Linked DNA regions of Anolis sagrei. The protein of the gene in region 2 interacts with the protein of the main gene of each other region in a pairwise test. Links are inferred from orthologs where the notes say so. Each region holds a gene or a part of one and is shown on either strand. Other genes may lie near its edges.

Evidence for each region.
Region 1: the proteins of MAPK1IP1L (region 2) and SS18L1 interact in binary tests that used the Homo sapiens proteins (3 or more experiments, as listed by UniProt). The two-hybrid records come from large-scale screens. The link is inferred for Anolis sagrei from reciprocal best matches to the Homo sapiens genes MAPK1IP1L and SS18L1.

What each region holds. Positions count from the first base shown.
Region 1 is NC_090024.1:232,273,310-232,280,670, forward strand, and holds the start of SS18L1 (calcium-responsive transactivator), read left to right. Parts: upstream 1-4,303; 5' UTR 4,304-4,631; coding exon 4,632-4,700; intron 4,701-7,361. Other genes in the region: PSMA7 (proteasome subunit alpha type-7), read right to left, coding at 976-1,071. UniProt on the Homo sapiens protein: Transcriptional activator which is required for calcium-dependent dendritic growth and branching in cortical neurons. Recruits CREB-binding protein (CREBBP) to nuclear bodies.
Region 2 is NC_090021.1:337,013,962-337,021,475, reverse strand, and holds the start of MAPK1IP1L (MAPK-interacting and spindle-stabilizing protein-like), read left to right. Parts: upstream 1-4,340; 5' UTR 4,341-4,442; intron 4,443-7,514.

The DNA.
Region 1 (7,361 bases), on a different chromosome or scaffold from region 2:
AAGAATGATTGACAACTGGAAAATAGAGGGAGAAACCGTGGAGGCCGTGACAGACTTTGTATTTCTAGGTGCAAAGATTTCTGCAGATGCAGACTGTAGCCAGGAAATCAGAAGACGCTTACTTCTTGGGAGGAGAGCAATGTCCAGTCTCGATAAAATAGTGAAGAGTAGAGACATCAGACTTGCAACGAAGATCCGCCTAGTCAAAGCCATGGTATTCCCTGTAGTCACCTACGGATGTGAGAGCTGGACCTTAGGGAAGGCTGAGCGAAGGAAGATCGATGCTTTTGAGCTGTGGTGTTGGAGGAAAGTTCTGAGAGTGCCTTGGACTGCGAGAAGATCCAACCAGTCCATCCTCCAGGAAATAAAGCCCGACTGCTCACTGGAGGGAAAGATACTAGAGACAAAGCTGAAGTACTTTGGCCACATCATGAGGAGACAAGAAAGCCTAGAGAAGACAATTATGCTGGGGAAAGTGGAAGGCAAAAGGAAGAGGGGCCGACCAAGGGCAAGATGGATGGATGGCATCCTTGAAGTGACTGGACTGACCTTGAGGGAGCTGGGGGTGGTAACGGCCGACAGGGAGCTCTGGCGTAGGCTGGTCCATGAGGTCACGAAGAGTCGGAGACGACTGAACGAATGAACAACAACAACAACATATATATCTTGTAAGCTCTGAGTCCCCTTCGGGGTGAGAAGGGCCTCGGCCAACTTGGGCCCTCCAGGTGTTTTGGACTTCAACTCCCACAATTCCTAACAGCCGGTAGGCTGTTAGGAATTGTGGGAGTTGAAGTCCAAAACACCTGGAGGGAGGGCCCAAGCTTGCCCATGACTGCTCTAAAGGATGCCTTTCTATCCATTGCGGTGGAAGGTAAACAGTGGAGAAAGCGGCCGTCTTTTCCAACATGGCTGCAGAGTTGAGGCCTTCCCCTTCCTTCCCTCCCGCCTTCCTTTCCCTCAGGACCCGCTCCTTACCGCGGTGGAGCCTTTCTTCACGGCCTCCTGCGCGTACTCGACTTGGAAGAGGTGCCCATCCGGGGAGAACACGGTGATGGCCCGGTCGTAGCTCATGGCGACAGGCCTCAGGAGAAGGAGGAGAAGCAGCCAGCCCTCGAAACAGCACCGTCACCTTCCCCCACTGCGCAGGCGCGGGCGCCTTCGCTCTCGCCACAGGATGACGCCTTAGACGTGCGTCGGGAACGTAACCCCCCTTCTCCCCCACACGCCGCCGGCTCGACCAATCCCGTTCGCTCGCCGTCATAGCGGCTAATGGGATTGGCCAGACGGAGAACGAGCAGGCCCCGCCCCCTTTTCGCCTCAGCCTTTCGAAAGCCACTGTGGTTTGGGACTTCGATTCCCACAGTCCCTGGTCGTGAGTTGAGGCAGCTGAGGCTTCTGGGAGTTGGAGTCCAAAACACCTGTTAGGTTGGGAATCGCGGCGAGAGGGCATCTTGCTACGCTAAGGAGAATTGAGTGACGTTATGTTAATAGTGCGGTTGAGAGTAGAGTGACGGTACTCTAATGGCGCAGCTGAGGAGAGTTGACTGGAGTTACGCTAACGGCGCAACTGAGGAGAGTTGAGCGACATTGTGCTAACGGCGCGGCTGAGGACACTTGACTGGAGTTACGCTAATGGCGCAGCTGAAGAGATTTAAGTGGAGTTACGCTAACAGCGCGGCTGAGGAGAGTTGAGCGACGTTGCGCTAATGGAGCGATGAATGACGTTACGCTAACGGCGCAGCTGAGGGGAGTTGAGTGGCGGTACGCTAATGGCGCAGCTGAGGAGAGTTGAGCGACGTTGCGCTAATGCAGCGATGAGTGACAATTCACTAACGACGCAGCTGAGGAGAATTGGGCGACGTTACGCTAATAGCGCAGCTGAGAGTTGACTGACGCGCGGTTGAGAATAGTTGAGTGATGTAGCGCTAATGGTGCAGCTCTAGAGACTTAAGTGGAGTTACGCTAACGGAGCGGCTGAGGAGAGTTGAGTGGCGTTACGCTAATGGCGCAGCTGAGGATAGTTGAGCGCCGTTGCGCTAATGGAGCGATGAATGACGTTACGCTAATGGCGCAGGTGCGGAGATTTGAATGGCGTTACACTAATGGCGCGGCTGAGAAGAGTTGAGCGACGTTGCGCTAATGGAGCGATGAGTGACGTTACGCTAACGACGCAGCTGAGGAGAATTCATAGAATCATAGAATCAAAGAGTTGGAAGAGACGAATTGAGCGACGCTGCACTAATAGCGCATCTAAGAGATGACTGACTCGCAGTTGAGGATAGTTGAGTGATGTAGCGCTAATGTCCGGTCAGCCTCACGTCGATACCGGGCAAGATTTTGGAAAAGATTGTTAAGGAAGCGGTCTGCAAACACTTAGAAACAAATGCAGTCATCGCTAATAGTCAACATGGATTTATCAAAAACAAGTCATGCCAGACTAATCTGATCTCTTTCTTCGATAGAGTTACAAGCTGGGTAGATGCGGGGAATGCCGTGGATGTAGCGTACCTGGATTTCAGTAAGGCCTTCGACAAGGTCCCCCATGACCTTCTGGCAAGGAAACTAGTCCAATGTGGGCTAGGCAAAACTACGGTGAGGTGGATCTGTAATTGGTTAAGTGGACGAACACAGAGAGTGCTCACTAATGCTTCCTCTTCATCTTGGAAAGAAGTGACAAGTGGAGTGCCACAGGGTTCCGTCCTGGGCCCGGTCCTGTTCAACATCTTTATTAATGACTTAGATGAAGGGCTAGAAGGCATGATCATCAAGTTTGCAGACGACACCAAATTGGGAGGGATAGCCAATAGTCCAGAGGACAGGAGCAGGATCCAAAACGATCTTGACAGATTAGAGAGATGGGCCAAAACTAACAAAATGAAGTTCAACAGTGACAAATGCAAGATACTCCACTTTGGCAGAAAAAATGAAATGCAAAGATACAGAATGGGGGACAATGCCTGGCTCGAGAGCAGTACGTGCAAAAAAGATCTTTGAGTCCTCGTGGACAACATGTTAAACATGAGCCAACAATGTGATGTGGCGGCAAAAAAAGCCAATGGGATTTTGGCCTGCATCAATAGGAGCATAGTGTCTAGATCTAAGGAAGTAATGCTACCCCTCTATTCTGCTTTGGTTAGACCACATCTGGAATATTGTGTCCAATTCTGGGCACCACAATTCAAGAGAGATATTGACAAGCTGGAATGTGTCCAGAGGAGGGCGACTAAAATGATCAAGGGTCTGGAGAACAAGCCCTATGAGGAGCGGCTTAAGGAACTGGGCATGTTTAGCCTGAAGAAGAGAAGGCTGAGAGGAGACATGATAGCCATGTATAAATATGTGAGAGGAAGCCACAGGGAGGAGGGAGCAAGCTTGTTTTCTGCTTCCTTGGAGACTAGGACGCAGAACAATGGCTTCAAAATACAAGAGAGGAGATTCCATCTGAACATGAGGAAGAACTTCCTGTGAGAGCCGTTCAGCAGTGGAACTCTCTGCCCCGGAGTGTGGTGGAGGCTCCTTCTTTGGAAGCTTTTAAACAGAGGCTGGATGGCCATCTGCCAGGGGTGATTTGAATGCAATATTCCTGCTTCTTGGCAGAATGGGGTTGGACTGGATGGCCCATGAGGTCTCTTCCAACTCTTTCATTCTATGATTCTAATGGCGCAGCTCAAGAGACTTAAGTGGAGTTACGCTAACGGCGCGGCTGAGGAGAGTCGAGCTACGTTGCGCTAATGGAGCCATGAGTGACAATACGCTAACGGCGCAGCTGAGGAGAATTGAGAGACGTTACGCTAATAGCGCAGATGCGAGTTGTCTGACTCACGGCTGAGGATAGTTAAGTGACGTTACGCTAATGGCGCGGCTGCGGAGACTTGAGTGGTGTAGCGCCAATGGAGCGATGAGTGACGCTACGCCAACGGCGCAGCTGAGGGGAATTGAGCGGCGTTACGCTAATAGCGCAGCTGAGAGTTGACTGATTCGCGGTTGAGTGGCGTTACGCTAACGGCGCAGTTGAGGAGAGCTGAGAGAACGCAGCGCCGGCTGGGATGGCGGGGTGGTCCCGCCTCAGTTTCCACCTGCCACCCCGCACGCAGTTGGCGTAGCGGAGCCGCTTCCGTTTACGCAGTTGTCTCACGGAGGCGCTGCTAAGCTTGGCACAAGGCGGGGAGAGCAGCGATTGGCTCGCGAGGGGAGAGGCAGCATCGCCTGGGCTGGACCATGTTGGGCGGGCGGGGAGGGGAGGGGTGCGGGGAGGGGGCGGGGCCAGGCGGCGCAGGTGGCTCTCGGCTGCCTGGCGCGGCTCCCTGGGGAGCGGAGGGGCGCCCAGGTGGAGGGAGGGCGCGCGAGGGACGGGGAGGGGCCGGCTGGAGCGGAGCCCGGCGCTCCTGGCCAGGCGCGGAACGTACCATCTGCCCGGACTCCCCTCCCCATGCACTGCGGCGGCGGAGGCGAGAGAGAGGGAGAGAGGGAAGGAGAGAGGGAGAGCATAACAATATCTCTGCCCAGGTCTCCCCTCCACATCTCTTCCCACCGCACGGCGCCCTTGTATTGACACGTCCTCTCCAGGAAACAGGCAATAAGGAGGGAACCAGCACAGCGAGGGAGAGGGAGAGGGAGAGCATCCCACCATCATGTCGGTGGCCTTTGCTTCTGCTCGCCCGAGAGGGAAAGGAGAGGTCACCCAGCAAACTATCCAGAAGGTAAGGCTGTCATCCAGGGCACTGCTTTTGTGCCATCTCATCACAGAGCTCTACACATCTCTATCTGTCTATGTGTGTGTGTAATAATATAATATATTATTATAGTATATTATAAGGTGCTCTACTAATAATATAATATATTGTATACACATATAATCTTGATAATATTATAATTTAATACTCTGTGTGTAATAATATATTATTATAGTATATTATAAGGTGCTGTACTAATAATATAATATATTGTATACACATATAATCTTGATAATATTATAATTTAATACTCTGTGTGTAATAATATATTATTATAGTATATTATAAGGTGATATGCTAATAATATATATTGTATACACATATAATATTGATAATGTTATAATTTAGTACTGTGTGTGTGAAATAATATAATATATTATTATAGTATATTATAAGGTGCTGTGCTAATAATATATATTGTATACACATATAATATTGATAATATAATAATTTAATACTCTAATAATATATTATTATAGTATATTATAAGGTGCTCTACTAATAATATAATATATTGTATACACATATAATATTGATAATATAATAATGTAATACAATGTAATACTAATAATAATACAATAGAATAATTTTATATTTGTAATATTACAAAGAATATTACAGTATACCGGTATAGTACAATATAGTAATATATAATACCAATATTGTACTGTGCTAATATAATTCTTATTATATCATAAGGTGCTGTGCTAATAATATATATTGTATACACATATAATATTGATAAGGTTATAATTTAATACTCTATGTGTAATAATATAATATATTATTATCGTATATTATAAGGTGCTGTGCTAATAATATAATATATTGTATACCATTATAATATTGATAATGTTATAATTTAGTACTGTGTGTGTGTAATAATATAATATATTATTATAGTATATTATAAGGTGCTGTGCTAATAATATATATTGTATACACATATAATATTGATAATATAATAATTTAATACTCTAATAATATATTATTATAGTATATTATAAGGTGCTCTACTAATAATATAATATATTGTATACACATATAATATTGATAATATAATAATGTAATACAATGTAATACTAATAATAATACAATAGAATAATTTTATATTTGTAATATTACAAAGAATATTACAGTATACCGGTATAGTACAATATAGTAATATATAATACCAATATTGTACTGTGCTAATATAATTCTTATTATATCATAAGGTGCTGTGCTAATAATATATATTGTATACACATATAATATTGATAAGGTTATAATTTAATACTCTATGTGTAATAATATAATATATTATTATCGTATATTATAAGGTGCTGTGCTAATAATATAATATATTGTATACCATTATAATATTGATAATGTTATAATTTAGTACTGTGTGTGTGTAATAATATAATATATTATTATAGTATATTATAAGGTGCTGTGCTAATAATATATATTGTATACACATATAATATTGATAATATAATAATTTAATACTCTAATAATATATTATTATAGTATATTATAAGGTGCTGTACTAATAATATAATATATTGTATACACATATAATATTGATAATATAATAATGTAATACAATGTACTACTAATAATAATACAATAGAATAATTTTATATTTGTAATATTACAAAGAATATTACAGTATAGCGGTATACTACAATATAGTAATATATAATACTAATATTGTCCTGTTCCAATAATATATTGTATACACATATAATACGGATAATATAATTTCATACGATATAATTATAATAATAAGACAATATAATGTATATTTCATATGACATGTAATATTACTAATAATATTACAGTATAGTGGTATAGTGCAATATAGTAATATATAATACTAATATTGTGCTGTGCTAATAATATAATATATTGTATACACATATATTATTACAGTATAGTGGTATAGTGCAATATAGTAATATATAATACTAATACTGTGCTGTGTTAATAATATAATATATTGTATACACATATAATATTGATAATATTATAATGTAATGCAATATAATTCTAATAATAAGACAATACAATGTATATTTCATATTACTTGCAATATTACAAATAATATTACAGTATAGTGGTATAGTACACTATAGTAATATATAACACTAATATTGTGCTGTGCTAATAATATAATATATTGTATACACATATAATATTGATAATATTATAATGTAATGCAATATAACACTAATAATACTACAATATAATGTATATTTCATATGACATGTAATATTACTAATAATATTAAAGTATAGTGGTATAGTATAATATAGTACTATATAATGCTAATATTGTTCTGTGCTAATAATATATTGTATACACATATAACACTGATATTATTATAATGTAATGCAATATAATAATATAATTTAACATAATATAATGTGTATTTCATATTACATGTAATATTACTAATAATATTACAGTATAGAGGTATAGTACAATATATTAATCTATAATACTAATATTGTGCTGTGCTAATAATATAATATATTGTATACACATATAATATTGATAATATTATAATGTGATACAATATAATACATATAATTGTATATTTCATATTACATGTAATATTACTAATAATATTACAGTATA
Region 2 (7,514 bases):
AGGGAGACCAGCTGCTATTTCACAAATGCCGCTCTGCTTCGGCATAATCTCTTCCTCCTCTGTTCCAACATGAGGAACTAGCAAGCATTACATTAATAGCCCTGGGAGTCGGAAGAATTAGGCAATTGCCATGGAATTCGCTGGGTTTGTCCTTGTCGTCATAAGTATCCCTAAGGACAGAAGTGGAGATGGGGGGAGGCATGGGAGGATGTTTCCAATTATTTATATAATGTTTGCAAAGCCATGTTTGGAGAACACACAGAAGAGAATCAAGGAAGGTTAACAGCAAAATAGTTAAGATGATCGTGCCTGTTTTTAAGGTTACTGTTGCGCGGTCACGCGCTGGGCCTATAGCAGTTGGCTTTTGAACAGGACGTGCTCTTTGTGCCCAGCGGGAAGCCGGGGTGCCTCGAGTGAGAGGCCCTAAGGATTTTCCTATACAAAAGTCTTTAGAAGCTTAAAAAGTTTATAGAATCATAGAATCAAAGAGTTGGAAGAGACCTCCTGGGCCATCCAGTCCAACCCCATTCTGCCAAGAAGCAGGAATATTGCATTCAAATCACCCCTGACAGATGGCCATCCAGCCTCTGTTTAAAAGCTTCCAAAGAAGGAGCCTCCACCACACTCCGGGGCAGAGAATTCCACTGCTGAACGGCTCTCACAGTCAGGAAGCTCTTCTTCATGTTCATAGAATCATAGAATCAAAGAGTTGGAAGAGACCTCCTGGGCCATCCAGTCCAACCCCATTCTGCCAAGAAGCAGGAATATTGCATTCAAATCACCCCTGACAGATGGCCATCCAGCCTCTGTTTAAAAGCTTCCAAAGAAGGAGCCTCCACCACACTCCGGGGCAGAGAGTTCTACTGCTGAATGGCTCTCACAGTCAGGAAGTTCTTCCTAATGTTCAGATGGAATCTCCTCTCTTGTAGTTTGAAGCCATTGTTCCATTGCGTCCTAGTCTCCAGGGAAGCAGAAAACAAGCTTGCTCCCTCCTCCCTGTGGCTTCCTCTCACAGATTTATACATGGCTATCATATCCCCTCTCAGCCTTCTCTTCTTCAGGCTAAACATGCCCAGCTCCTTAAGTCGCTCCTCATAGGGCTTGTTCTCCAGACCTTTTATCATTTTAGTCGCTCTCCTCTGGACACATTCCAGCTTGTCAATATCTCTCTTGAATTGTGGTGCCCAGAATTGGACACAATATTCCAGGTGTGGTCTAACCACAGCAGAATAGAGGGGTAGCATTACTTCCCTAGATCTAGACACTAGGCTCCTATTGATGCAGGCCAAAATCCCATTGGCTTTTTTTGCCACCACATCATATTGTTGGCTCATGTTTAACAAAGTTCTTTATCATTTCTTACGTCTTCAACAAGCAATCAAATACTTCTTGGATCTTCAACAAATTAAACAAATGCTTCTTAACTTGTCTACAAAGGACAGGCAACTTGCTTGGAGAACTATTTCTTTCTTTAACAAGGAAAACCCTTTTTGACCCTCCCGGGCAATCTGCTTTCTAGGTTCTGCTGGTGTGGGCTTCTACTCCCGGCTCCAATTGCTTCTGGTTACCCGAGTAGACCTACCAGTCAAGACTTTGTAGATTTTCCAGCTGGAGTCCTTTTGGATTTTCTCCATGAATGGTGTAGATCAGTCTTCTTCTTCTTAGGCGATCCCTCGTTTTCCGAGGAGGATTGTCTTCCAGTGTTATTGTGGGTCCGTATGTGGCTGTGGAGCCCTATTCTTGCTCTGCATCTTCTTCCGCAGTGAGGGCATCGGTTTCCAGGTGGAAGGCGGTCTTGGTCGGGGTTGGCTTGATGCGCTTTCCTCTTGGCATGTTTCTCTCTTTTGCCCTCCATTCATGCCTCTTCAAATTCTGCAGCACTGCTGGTCACAGCTGACCTCCAGCTGGAGCGGTCAAGGACCAGGGCTTCCCAGTTCTCAGTGTCTATGCCAGACACTATAGTAACAATTTATTTATTTATTTATTTATTTGGTTTACTTTTACCCCGCCCTTCTCACCCCGAAGGGGACTCAGGGCGGCTTACATATCCAAGGCACAATTCGATGCCCGTAACATACAACAATAATAAAACACAATAGCACAAAATAGCAAACAATAACAATACATCATATCTATAACCAATAAAGCCCATAAAAATTTCATACAAACCGATACAAACCAATTGCTCCTTATTGCCGGTCAATATTTGCTACCTCATAGTTCAGAGTTTCATTCCACACTTATCAGTCCTGCCGGTCCTATTTTTCTGGTTGTCCTTACTTGGTTGGCAGATTGCCCGAAGGCCTGGTCCCACAACCACGTCTTTACCTTCCTCCTGAAGGACAGGAGTGATGTCAATGTCCTGATATCCGCCGGGAGTGAGTTCCACAGGTGAGGGACCACCACTGAGAAGGCCCTGCTCCTTGTCCCCACCAGCCTCACTTGGGAAAGTGGTGGGGTCAAGAGCAGGGCCCCCTCTGATGTTATTAGATTCCGTGGTGGGACGTAGAGGGAGATACGTTCGGACAGATACACTGGACCGGAACCATAGAGGGTTTTGTAGGTTAAGACCAGCACCTTGAATTGGGCTCGGGACTGAAACGGCAGCCAGTGGAGCTGACACATCAGAGGGGTGGTATGCTCTCTGTATGTCGCTCCAGTGAGCAGCCTGGCTGCCGCTCGCTGGACCAGTTGAAGTTTCCGAACCGTCTTCAAGGGCAACCCCACGTAGAGTCCCTTCTTAAGACCATTACAACTGCCAACAATGATGGATCAGGACCACAATTTACACAGAGACCCAGCATGACCCACTCTACATCTGGTGCGGTTAGGAAAAAATTGTCAATGGATGATGGGACTTGCAATCACTTCACTCACTTCCTGAGACCACTGACTGATCAAGACCAAATTTGGCACACAGAGTCCCCATGACCCACTCTACATCCTGGTGCACTTTCGAGGAGGACAGACCATGGATGATGGGACTTCAAGTACCTCCACTCCCCAAGACTGCTGCAACCCTCACCTAATGTCCGATCAAGACCAAACTTGGCACACAGAGCCCCCATGACCCACTCTACATCCTGCTGCAGTTTTGGAGGAGGACGGACAATGGATGATGTGACTTCCAGTACCTTCACTCACATTCTGAGACCTCTGCAAACCTCATGCAATGACTGATCAAGACCAAACTTGGCACACAGACCTCTCATGACCCACTTTACGTCCTGGTGTCATTTGGAAAAAAATGGAGATGGATGATGGGACTTGCAGTAACCTCACTCACTTTCTGAGACCACTGAGACCCTTGCCAATGACTAATCAAGACCAAACTTGGCACACGGAGCCCCAATGACCCACTCTACACCCTGGTGCAGTTTGAAGGACAGACCATGGATGATGGGACTTCCTTCCCAAGATTGCTGAAACCCTCATCTAATGACCGATCAAGACCAAACTTGGCACATACAGCCCCCATGACCCACCCTACATCCCGGTGCTGTTTGAAAGATGGACGATGGATGATGGGACTTGCAGTACGTTCACTCACTTCCTGAAACCATAGCGACACTCATTCAAAAACCAATAAAGACCAAACTTGTAACATAGAGCCCCCATGGCCAACTCAACATTCTGGTGAGGTTTGGGGAGTACAGACTATGGATGATGGGACTTCAAGTACCTCCACTCACTTCCCAAGACCTCTGCAACATTCATCTAATGACCGATCAAGTCCAAACTTGGCACACAAAACCCCCATGACCAACTCTCCATCCTGGAGCAGTTTGGAGGGGGATGGACCACAGATAATGGGACTCACAGTAACTTCACTAACTTCCTGAGACAACTGCGAGGCATATAAATAACTGATAAAGACCAACCTTGATACACAATTCCTTTCTCAAATAACCCGGGCAGCGCCGGGTCCCCAAGCTAGTATATAATATAATTCATCTAATATAATATAGGAAGATTGTATATTTAACATATATTGTAATATAGTAATAGTAATATTACTCCAGCAGCAAGATCTTTTTGAAAGTGCAGGTCCCATCTCCCACCAGCAGGGGCCGCTGTCGCCTCTGAAGCGGCTTGCCCATTCATGGACTGAAATTGGACGAGGATTCCGCTGAAAAGGGGGCGGGGCGGGGGCGGGGCTTGGATCATGTAAATGCAGGCTCCCTCTCACACCAGCAGGGGCCGCTGTCGCCTCTGAAGCGGCTTGCCCATTGATTGGACTGAAAAGGGGGCGTGGCTTGGATCACGTGATGCACTCTGCCCCGCTCTGCATGCTGCCAAGGCTCGCGGCGGGCGTCACGTGGTCAGGGGCTCCTCCTCTCTTCTCGCGAGAGCTGGGTCCATTTCCGCTTCCGCTTCCTTGCTTGTGAAGAAGAAGAAAAGAAGAAAGCGGAGGAGAAGGAGTCTCGCCCGTGTTCCTCACTGTGAGTCGTTAAGATGTAATATAAGGTTATATTAAGTGAATTATATGTATAATACTCCATTATATGTGACTATACAATATGACTAGATGATATAATACTAGATGAATTATATTGTATATAATATTAATTAATAATTAATATATTATATTGTACATAATATTAATATATATTAAAATATCATTTACATTATTTATGACTATACAATATATGATATAATACTAGATGAATTATATATAGTATTAATTAATAGTTAATATATTGTACATAATATTAATATATATTAAAATATCATATAAGTTATATAATATATATTATTACTATATTTTATTGTATTATATATTAAATATTATATTAGATTAATTATGTATTATACTGTTACTATATTATGTTACATTATATATTAATATACAATATTCCTATATTATATTAATTGAATTATATTATATATAATATTAATTAATAATTAATATATTATATTATACATAATATTAATATATTAAAATATCATAAGTTATATAATATATATTATTACTATATTTTATTGTATTATATATTAAATATTATATTATATGCATTATATATAATATCACTATTACTATATTATATTGCATTATGTATTAATATACAATATTCCTATATGATATTAGATGAATTATATTATATATAATATTAATTAATAATTAATATATTATTCACAATATTAATATGTAATTCTATATTAGATAAATTGTATAATATGTATTATTACTATATTATATTGTATTATATATTAATTAATATATTAGATGACTTATATATAATATTAATAATATATTATACATAATATTAATATATAATACTATATTAGATGAATTATAGATAATATTACTATTACTGTATTATATTACATTATTTATTAATATACAATATTCCTATTAGATGAATTATACTATATATAATATTAATTAATAATTAATATAGTATACATAATATTAATATGTAATTGTATATTAGATAAATTGTATAATATACATTATTACTATATTATATTGTATTATTTATTTATTAATATTATATTAGATGAATTATATAAAATATTACTATTATTATATTATATTACATTACATCTTAATATACAATATTATTATATTATATTAATTGTATTATATATAATATTAATATATTACACATAATATTAATATGTAATTCTATATTAGATAAATTGTATAATATATATTATTACTATATTATATTGTATTATATATTAATTAATATTATATTAGATGAATTATATATAATATTAAAATTACTATTATATTACATTATATCTTAATATACAATATTACTATATTATATTAGATGAATTCTATAATACATATAATGTAATATATATTGTATATACATATAATATTTATATTACATGTAATATTATTAATAATATTACAATATAATGGTATAGTACAATATAGTAATATTTAATACTGATATTGTACTATGCTAATAATACCATATATTGTATATGTGTATATCTTGTAAGCCGCTCTCAGTCCCCTTCGGGGTGAGAAGGGTGGCATAGAAATGTCATGTTATATATATATATATATATGTGTGTGTGTGTGTGTGTATACACACACACACACACATATACATATATATATATACATAATATTAATGTATAATACTATATTAGATGAATTATATATATATTACTGTTACTATATTATATTACATTATATAGGAATATACAACATTGCTATATTATATTAAATGAATTATATATATTAGGATATAATATTAGTATATAATATTAGATGAAGCCACGAAGATTCCGTGAGTGACATTGGGTCATAGAATAATAGGGTTGGAAGGGATCCCAAAGGCTATCTAGTCCAACCCCCTTCTTTCTGTGGCAATCAACCCTCCCTCTCACCACCCACCCCCAACAGATGCCCATCCAGCCCCTGTTTAATTTCAACAAGTACAAAGGTAAGATATGACACCTAGGCAGGAAAGAATGAAATGTGAAGATACAGAATGAGTGATGCCTGGCTTGACAATAGAACATGTGAAAAAAGATCTTGGAGTCTCCGTGGGCAACAAGCTGAACATGAGCCAAGAGTGTCATGCAGCAGCTCAAAAAGCCAATGCAGTTCTAGGATAGTGTCTAGATCAAGGAAAGTCATGGTGCTCCTCTATTATATTCTGCTTTAGTTAGACCTCTTTGCCTGGGATACTGTGTCCAATTCTGGACCCCACAGTTCAAAAGAGATATTGACTTTAAGCTGAAAGGAATCCAGAGAAAGGGATAATCGAAGGTCTGGAGAACATGAAAAACCTCTCTTAGAGAGCTGGGTCTGTTGAGAGGAAACCCAGAAGAGAAGGTTGAGAGGAGACATGGTAGCCATGTATAAATATGTGAAATGATGTCATAAGGAAGAGAGAACAGGCTTGTTTTCTGCTTCCTTTGAGACTAGGACTCAATGGAGAGGAGATTCCACCTGAACATTAGGAAGAACTTCCTAACTGTGATAACTGTTCAACAGAGGAACATTCTGTCTTGGAATTCAGAGGAGGCTTTTAAACAGAGGTTGGACAGCTATCTCTCAAGGGTGCTTGGTTGTGCTTTTCCTGCATGGTAGGGAGTTGGACTGGTTGGCCCACGAGGTCTCTTCCAGTTCTATTATTCTGAGGAGCTGGGGATGTTTAGCTTTGAAAAGAGGTGCCATGACAGCCATATTTCAGTATTTGAAAGGATGTCACATTGAGGAGGGAGCAAGCTTGTTTTCTGCTTCTCTGGAGATTAGGACACAATGGAGCAATGGATTTAAATGCCAGAAAAGGAGATTTCATGTAAACGTGTGAAAGAATATATTGGCAATAAGAGCTTTTTTGATAGTAGAATATGCTTCTGCCTGGGAGCCCAGTGGAATCACCTCTGGGGGTTTTTCAAAAGAGTCTGGATGGTGGTCTATTGGGAGTACTTGTATTGTGTGTTCCTGCATGGCAGAGGTTTAGACTGAATGGCCCTTAGGGTCTCGTCCAACTCTATAATAATAATAATTATTATTATTATTTATACCCCGCCACCATCTC